Drosophila melanogaster: one gene and its partner. The protein of the gene in region 1 interacts with the protein of each later gene in a pairwise test. Each region holds a gene or a part of one and is shown on either strand. Other genes may lie near its edges.

What was found.
Region 2: the proteins of CG4661 (region 1) and CG7724 interact in a two-hybrid assay, tested with the Drosophila melanogaster proteins (one large-scale study listed by BioGRID).

The regions. Positions count from the first base shown.
Region 1 is NC_004354.4:12,855,019-12,859,574, reverse strand, and holds CG4661 (uncharacterized protein), read left to right. Parts: upstream 1-1,852; 5' UTR 1,853-1,915; coding exon 1,916-3,817; 3' UTR 3,818-3,887; downstream 3,888-4,556.
Region 2 is NT_037436.4:17,053,777-17,059,240, reverse strand, and holds CG7724 (uncharacterized protein), read right to left. Parts: upstream 3,629-5,464; 5' UTR 3,564-3,628; intron 2,249-3,563; 5' UTR 2,212-2,248; coding exon 1,893-2,211; intron 1,780-1,892; coding exon 1,504-1,779; intron 1,429-1,503; coding exon 827-1,428; 3' UTR 708-826; downstream 1-707. Other genes in the region: rogdi, read right to left, coding at 4,875-4,943.

The DNA of each region.
Region 1 (4,556 bases):
TAATTTTGAAACAATAAAAAAAGTTGGACGGCAAGCACAAGTGATAATTATTGGCCAGCTGTCTGTTTTATTTATTTTTATTATGTTACCCTTCTCCCGCTTCCAATTTGCGATTGCTGATGCAGTCGAAATTCTCTTCTTTTCATTTAATTTTTTTTTTCTTTTTGTTTTAACCTTTTTTGCAACATTAACTAACCCGGCGATGTTCGTTTAAGCCGGAATGCAAATTGACTTGTTTCCGTTGCTAGCCGCTAGCCATCCTTTTCTCCGCCTCTCGTGGCGTCTCTTTTTTTTCGCCATTTGCCATCTCTGTCTATTACTTCCTTGCGCCATCTATTATGTAGATGGCATAAAACAAAGAATGAGCCATCTCCTTCGTCTGGTTTCGTTCGTGGTTTTGATTTTCCTTTTCTCACCCACACACACTGCGTACTACTTCTACTTGTTTCCTTTTCTCTATTCATCCTTTCTACGCACTCTTCGTGCTTTTCCTTTTGGACCGATTCCGTTTTAACTTTTTTCTCCTCTTTTTCCGCGCCAGCATTTGGCTTAAGTTTTGCAATTTTGAGCTAATGCCTGCGACTACGAAGCCGCTTTTCCCACATTTCTCTACCCTTGCCCTCAAGTTTTGCTTCAGTTTTTATCGTTTAGTTGGTGCTTCTTTAAGCACTGAGAGAAATTTTAAAATGCAACCGATATATATATATGTATTGATATAGAAAAGATTGCATATTTTTTTGAATTTTATATACAAGGTGCGGGTTCTTATTTTTGTGATCTTAGCTACTGAGCCTTACTTTGAATTCCGTTTCACAACGAAAACCATATATGGAGCTTATATATATGAATGGAGTATTTTAGTTTTCTGTGCACTCCAGTACACACCTCTGTTTGATTTTTCCAGAGAATGCAGGGAAGAGTGCTAGATTTATGCATTGCCATGGTGGCTTCGTTGGCTTCCCAGATACTGCTCCTTTTGTTTCCCTTCAATGCAATTTAAATCCACGCACCCGGCAACGAATGGAATGGAATTGAAACGGAACTGAATGGACGGACGGATTGGCCTATATTGAGATTTATTGTCTCATCGCTCTAATTACAATAAGGCAGTGCCTACCACTGTGCGTCGCAATGTCGCCATTCTTATTCCATTCTCAATTTCGAAGCCCACTCCTGAGCCCCGTGGCGAATGCCAAGGAATTCCATTTAAATTACTTTTTAATGTCCTGCTCACACACACACACACATAGACACAAGCAAAACCTACGCACACACAGACGTGCTAGCAAATCCTGTAGGAAGACTGAAAAATGGTTTGAAAATGCATTTAATTGAGGTTGTCCTTTTTTTTTCGAAACTCCTGCAAAGAAATACTTGAATGGCCGAAGGGCCATTGTTTGACTCTTGCTTGTTGCCTACCAATAAGTTTATATGTTTCCATACTTATTCAATCAATAGTGATTACCTTGATGCAGAGGCATGTTTGGCTAAAAATATATATTTCATGCCCGAAAGCCATTCAAAATCAGCTAAAAAACCAATTGCCATAGTTTAGGTTTAACTTTGAGAGAGAAATTTGGCATACCGTTTTCATTAAATAACTTTAACTGGAATTTAGCTGTTGGCACAAGAGATTTTTCGCCTGACTTAATCAACGTAATCACTTAATCATAATTAATGATAATGACAAATACATTCGATATATGTATTTAGGCCAGTAATCTTGGCATCGCTTTCGATCGAGTTACCATTGGGTACATTTATGTCAGTGCTCTTGGCTTGGTTTTTGATCCAGTCGACATAGGGATAGCAATCATGCCAGTCACACATACACACACTGACTAGCCAATATCAAAGACCGAAATTAAGCAGACATATTTTCTATTCGGAAGTACAAAAAAAAAACATAAAAAACATGTCATCTAGATTCAAGTCGAGAATTCCGGAACGCGTTAGACACTCGCTAACGGTACTGGATGGTCCAAACTCGCGGATATCCCGCATCCGTGATGCCGCGCTACCAAATCGCTGCTCGCTGAACCGCTCCCATTTGCCGATGCCAATAAGCAATACGCTGAGCGCTCTGGTGAAGCCAGTATCGCCGAAAGTTGTATTTAAGAAAACGCTAACGGATGAGGAAGCGGTAATCCGCTCGCTGGTGCGACGTTCAAAACCGCTGGCAGTTCGTGGCAATCGTACATCCTTTCGCCGCATTCAATTGGCTCACGCTGCGCCAATTGACGATTCTTCCGTGCTGTTGAAAGCCACCAATAGCTTTTGCAGCACCAATTTTCAGCTGCAAAAGCCCATAAAGGAGGCAAGTCCGGGTGCCACAGAGAAGGATCGTGCCGCTAACAAAGTGAGGTCCGCAAAAAGTCTGCTGGATCTGGTGGCCGGAAGAAGGCAACCGGGTATGGAACAAATACGTTTCCTTTGCAGCGATCATCGCCTGATCAATGTGCCCAGTCCCTTGATGTATCGCCATTCGGAGGTGATGAGCCGTTTGGAAGGGGAGGTGCAGCCAATTCCGTTGCGGTCCATTCGATCGGCGACACTGCTACGTGTGATTATGTGGATGCACAAGAAGACTCTATGCGCAAACGGAACTGAAAAAATCGCCGCGCCGACACCAACAGTTGAGACGTGCATTTGCGAAATAGGCAAAGGAAACGGATATACGAAAAGCGAGGCCAGCTGTCAAATCAGTGAGAACACTCAAGGTAATGCTCAACAAACGGTAAATTTAACATGTCAGATCCTCGGCGAAAAAATCGAAAATGATTGCACAAAAATACTTAAGAATGTAGAATTTGATTATGACCATACACCGATTAGAAATGATAATATCGAGAATAGTTGTGAAAACAATGATGAAAGTGTTAATGACGAGGCAGGTGTTATAAGCAATCAAACAAGCGACTCAATGGAAAGTTTCGAAAATAACTTGCAAAATCAAGAAAATTTTATGGTCGAATGTTCTACAGATATCAAATGTAATGATTACAAACAAAACGAAAATCAAAAAGACGAGAACTGCACAATTATAGATGAAAATAATGGAAAGTTAGTGTTATATAATCCAAACATTCAATTAATTCAAAATAACGAAAACACAAACAAAAGTAGTAGAGATTGCAAGAATGATACAATTAATGAATTCACAAAAGTAAATGGTAACTATCAAGATTACATTCAAATTACCGAAATTGGCAATAATAATATCACAGGTGTAAATACTGGCGAAGATGAACGTGAAATCGGTTGCTTAAAAAGCACGGATAAAATCGTAATTCATGCCAATGTGATGCAAAATTTTTGTAAACGAAATATATGGAAATGCAATGGGATTAGAAGGTGTACAGGCGAGGATGCCAACGATGATCAATGCGTTGCTAACTTAAATGAAATGAAGCGTTCCTCATTTCTTCTTTGCTCATGGGAAGAGCGATTGTTGGGCAGCGAACTGTACCAGCTGGTGGAAATTATCCTGGCGTCTCATTATTTGGGCATCGAGTCGCTGACACTGAACGCCATTCATCATTTCTGTGAACTAATGGCTCAAAGGACTCGCTCGGAATGCTGCCTAATGCTAGGGATCAAGACACGATTGGCTAGTGAGCGCCAAACTTTGGATAACCACTGTCCGTTGATCAGGGACTCACTGTCGCGAAATAATCAAGCAGATAGGACCGAAAATATGAAGCAGCAATTTGAATCCAGAATCTTCAGGAAACCACAACCGAACGGAAAGGCAGCTGTAGGAGGTGGAATGGGAGATGGACTTTATGCCAAAAAGCCTCGCAGTCGCAACCATTAGTACGGTTTCCAATCAAGAACAATGAACTCAAAACTTTTAGATTGTATACGCAATATACTTTTGTACTTTTATTGTTTTTCTTTTATCAATTCTCATTTAGTGTGGTTTATATGGTTGTATGCCTTTTTTTTTTGCTTAGTCACCCATGCGCTTGTCCCATTTATTTTCCACCTTCATTTTGATGATTTATTTAATTGCGAAATAACAACGAGACCTTCAGTTTCATATTGCTTAGAAGACACACGTCAGAGTCGATTAATCCACTGGCAGGTGGCAAACGCAAACTTTTTGCTTGACCAAAGCCGCAATAACGAAAACATTCTGATTAAATATTGCACTGAAAAATATACACATAGCTCACTACTTAATAATATTTTTAATACTTTTAAAATAGCAGATTGGCAGTATAAAATATGTTTTGTTCGATTTTTCTATGCTCTATTATTATTATTTTTTTTTGTAAACGAAATTAAAAGAAATTCATCTCTAATGCATTAATGCACATTTTAGGAGAAACTAGCATAAATACAGAAAAAATATTGTTTCAATGGGCGATTTGCGATTTGTTCTCAGTGCACCTGTGGCATAATTAACTCGCCAAGAAATGGGTGGCCACTGGATCGAGTGGGTGGTGAGTGATGTGGACTATCTCTACAGGCGATGTGCGGCAATTAAGCGATAAAATATGCAACAAGCCAATTATGCGCACATTAAATGGCCACGACCAGCGCTTTTCCAC
Region 2 (5,464 bases), on another chromosome or scaffold:
CACTTTGTTCACCATGTGCCACGTACAGGGGAGGATAGACGAGGTTCTTGGGGAAGTGGATAGCTAATCCCACTATACTCTCGATGGGGTTAAAATCGGCAGTGAAATAGGCAGAATCAGCAACAAGAACATAGATCAGCAACAGCATATTAAACCAAAATGAACAAAAAACGAAGAAAACAAACAAAAATGAACTAAAACATGATTTTAAACAAAAATGAAATTAAATAATGGCATATTAAGTTAAGCTAATGGTACATAAGTTTAAAAAACAAACGGCAAGAAACGCTCTAGAGCAACAAAAAAACGAGATGAACCGAAAACCAAGACAAACAAATATATATATATATATATATATATATAAATATATATATAAAATAAAAATTATAATGAAATAACTGAGAAATAAATAAATTAATTCATAATGATAAATAAACCAATATGAACATTGTTCAAAAACATACGCTAATTGTTTTTTTACTGGTCTTCTTTTATACGGAAAGTTTTAAAAATGTAAAGGGTCAAGATTAAGACGGTAAGTTATGAAAAAACTTAAGGAATATTATATACCATATGGGATTAGTCGGAAAAATTATTTAAACTAATAGAAAATAAATTATTTTTTTCTGCAAGGGTACATTAACTTTGACTTGCCGATGCTAGCTTCATTTCTTGTTTTCTTTTGCAAAACTAAACCACGACTTCGTAATACAAACAACAACCATTTTATTTAACAAGATATTTACAGGACATCAAAGAGGGCAGTAAACACAAATCCACTCAGGATATCGAGGAGTATGCTATCGTAATAGGGGATTAGCTCCACTCAGCTGGACTTCTTGAGCTTCTGGGCCTGCTGCCGTTGGTCCCACCACGTGGCATACCACTTTGCGCTCCGCTCGGCACTCGCATCCGGATCGAAGAGTGGCATGTAGTCCATGTGGATGGAGGCCCTTAGACGATTGTACATCAGCATCGAGGACGTGTAGGAGGCGATGGCGCGCAGTGAGTACCGCAGACGGTACTTGGTGTATGGATAGGCCACCCGCACTACCACCTCCAGCAAGAAGGCCAGAAAGAAGAACAGGAAGTGCGGCACATACCACCAGCTGGTCTTCACCTTAAACCGCTCGCCCAGCACGGCCATCTTCTGGACAAAACGAGAGACATCATTGATGCCCGTATCATCGGTGACAAAGACGGGCAGTCCATTCACCGCCTTATCGGACACCTTGAGGGCCTTATAGGCGCAGATGTGACCCCAGGCCACATTCCCGGCGTAGACCAACTGCTGCTTTCCGCCCACGCCCGCGATCCTTGGGAACACCCATCCCCTAGTCGAAAGGAAGTCGAAAATCTCCGTGATGAAGTGCGAGTCACACTCGCCATAGGTCAAAGGGGCACGCATGGCGCTGGTGGCCAGATATTCTGCAGAGGATTACAAATGTTAATATATTTAAATGTCTTTAAATAAGTCAATGCTAAGTAATCGGCCAAACTTACCCTTCTGGTTATGCAGTGGCGCTCCATTCGAGTTGAGCACTATGTTCTCTGCCCTAAGCTTGCTCGAGGCGTATCCGGGTATCAGGAACTGATTATCCTGCTCCCACAAAGTGGAACTGTCCAGCGTGGGAGTGTCTGTCTTGGATTCCGTCGAGTTAATCACCGCCGAGAAGGTACTCCGACCCTTGAAGGGCACAAAACAGACGGATGTGCAGCTTGTGTACACCAGGCGCTTCACATTGTTTTGAATGCAGAGGTCTACTACGGCCAGGGTGCCTAACAAAGCGAAGAAATAAACTCGAAATTAAGATCAAATCAATGTTTATTCCAAGCCCAGTTTAGTTGCCTGGAATTACCTATCTTACGAGGTACTTTATTCGCTCACTCACCGTTCACATTTACGCGCTCCAGTTCCTCGTAGTTCGGCGGATACTCGATTTTCACCGAGGCGGCGCAGTGGAAGACCCCGTCCACTCCGTTGAAGATGGGACTGAGTGCCTTCAGATCGCCACCGATATCGGCCACATAGGTGCGCAGCAGGGAGGTCTCCTCGTGGCCAATGTTGTTTTTGTAGGGCACTATATCCAGTGAGCGGATCTCTTTGATGCCCAGCTCCTCCTTCCGCTCCAGCAATTGCTTGATGAGGTGCTGACCCAAAAAGCCACTGCCGCCGGTTACGAGCAGCACTTCCCCGCTTTTGTTGCCCATTGCGTCCAGGGTCAAAGTACACTGGTTTTTGGTTTAACTGCAACGAGACCGACTGCAGGTTAGCTGGGCTGGCTTAAGTGGTTAAGTGGAGTTTCCGTGAGAGTGGCTTTTATGGTCGGCGGCCCCACTTGGACCAGCCCGGCCACTTGGACATCACACACATAAACTGGCTCATCACCAGCCGGCGACCTTCTTCGAGGGTCAGCGGAGCAGGTTTCCAAGTGACTCGGCGGTTTTTCAAATGCTCGGCTTACGTGACGCTCCGCGGCGCTAATAAAGGCGGCCACTTTTATATTACCTATATGTTTACTTATAGTTATAGTTAGTTTGTGTAATCCAAATTCCCATGATTACTTCAATTATTTGCTTTTTATAGTCTGTGTAATATAAACTGGCTTTCACCTTATCAAAATGGGTTTTAACTACTATTTATTTGCATAAATGTAAATATGAGTAACCAACTTACTAGTTTGTATCTTATAGTATATAGAGCTACATATATTCCTTGATTACAGCAAATACTTTTTATTAATTTAAAATAAAATCTGAAAATAACTTTCAAAGCTGTAATTAAGTAACAATTATTTCTTAATGGCCTAGAGCTTAGTAAAAATAAATAAACTTACTAATTAAATCATTATTTTCGGTTACCTTCTAATGCAACGCGACCTTAATTCTGTTCGTATTAATGGCATTCGCACTTTTAAAGTGCCAAAAATGACTGTTAACTTTATAATTTATAATATAAGCAAAGTTTGAATGCTGTTCGCACATTTAGACGGATATATTGAAGATATAGTGAGCAGCTAGTTTCCGTTGTAGAGGAAATCTGATGAAAATTCGTATATAAATCATTGTCGCTCTATAGCTTTCGATTTCTACTTCCCCTTAGTGTGTTACTTGGCCACGGTCAACTTTTGTTTTGAATGAATTTATTAGACCCCGTCCAGTAACTAAGGCCGTTGAGCAGACTCAAAAAGACATTAAAAATAATAAGATACTAATGGTGACAGCAGCAACATCTGCAACAGCCACATTTGCAGCAGCAACATGGCCATCGGCCAAAGCAACAGCAACTTACAAGATACAATATACGGCAGCAATCTCAACAAAGGGAAACATGGCTCAATGTGCTAATGTTTTCGCTGGGCGGTCTTACAGATTACAACACAGCATCAAAACAATTACCGCGAACTGGTTTCCGCGTCTATTTCGACATGCACGTCAACACACACGATTTTTTTTTGGCATTTTGGCCTGGCCATTTTAAACTTGTAAACACTCGACCAATAAATGGCACCTGTCTATCTAGAAGCCCGAAAGTCGTAATATCTATATCGTTCGATGCTTACCAGGAAAATTTGGCACTTTTTTGTGAGCAAACCTTTGGGCTTGCCTGCTGACTGGAAACTGTTTGTTGGTCATAAACAAAAGTGGCCGAAACCGAAACGATCGTTGTCGAGCCACTTGGCTATCACTTATCGTTATCGTCATCGTCCGCGCTGCTATCGATCGCAGTCGTCGAGCATTTGGCGCGCGCAATTGAAAGTTCGTTTTTCAAAATGCATGGCATTTGGTAAAAGGTAATTTTTATTCAACAACAAGTAAATGAATGTGGACAGTAAGTACGCTTAGTGATTACATAAATAGTTGTCTTCTCTTCCCATGCATTTAGTGGGGTGCTTAGGCAATTGCAATATTCAATAAGTACAGTGGTAATTGTTTTCGTTGCATCTCATTCAATAACTTTCTATATCTTTATAAACTCCCTGGTAGATGTATAAAGTAAACGAGAAGTAAAGGCCGTTGATACAAATGACTTTGGATTAGATTAGGATTGGGCGCTCTTAACCATTAACCATTAACGAGTACGCGAAATACAATTACGGATATACAATTACGAATACGAATACAAAACGGTGTTTAGTTTAGTACAATTAAAAATTCTGTTCACATTTCGGTTTGGTTTATTACAACAATATCATGTAAATGCCGATGTAGATGCCCCTTCCGTGTGCACCTAAGTATGTATGTATATAGGGGGCTGTGTTAGGGGGTATAAACGTTGTAAGTACCGACTTTAAGTACCGATTGACTGCTGACTTGGTGGATTTTGTTGCATCGTAGCAAACATAAATAAGGGCCATGGTATTACATTACATTAAATTACATGTACGAATAAACTATAATTATCTAGCAATTTCATTTTGTTACACATACAAACACAATTGGTTTTCACAAACGTTCTCTGTTCTCAATTCTCAGCCTAATGCTATTTAGATGCATTTTGATGCATAATTGGAGTGACGTGAAGCGATGAACTCAGGTTCTGCGTAGTCGTAATTTAACATGAATGTTGATTGTGTACATTAAACTAGTTGTATGCATGTATGTATGTATATAACTTTCTATACACTACTGTATATAGCAGTATAGTGTTTTAAAGTATTGTATTGTATAGTATAGTATATAGTATAGTATGCATGGGTATTATGGGTGTGCCGTTTCCAGTAGCAACATTTCAACTAACATTATTTACTTCGCTATTACAAGTACGGTTCTTTATTAGCTATTATTGTTGTTATTGTTTCTGTCGCCGATCCACCAGTGCCATCGATCAAGGGTTTCCATACCCGGCTTCCATTTCCCGGCGCATTCCCGTCTCAGTAGGAAAGTGCCGAGGGCGAACGCGAGCCAACTGTGAAATCTTTGTACACCGAAAACACAGATATCTGCGAAAGAGTAGAAATATTGAATTAAAAATACACCCACAATTCATTCGAGGACCCAGCGCATCGGAACCCGTTCCCTCACATTGGCCATACTCGTGCCAATCCCCATATTGGCCACTTTAATTGCCGACTTGCGTCACAGTCAAGAACTGCAGCGTGGCCCTGGCACTTGGCCAGCAACCAAATAAAACTTGGCGGCATCTTGTGGGTGCGGAAAAATGGGACAGCATCCGTGGCTCTTCGCACATGTGCTCCGCCGTTGGGAATCGCTGTGATATCAGTTCAAGAGCAGACGCCTTATCAGTGCCGGCTAGTTCCGAAAATAGCTTACTTTTGGGTGGGTGTGTTTCGTGTGGATATAATCGTTTGGGTGCTTAGTAATTGCTGAAGACTTCAGCTATTCTGGCCTATGAATTATAGAACCATTTCGATCTGCTCAGTCGAAATATCGTGCCTATTACATTTCTCTAGGTTATACCGAGCGAAAAAATGATTTATGATCAATAAAATCGTATTGAATT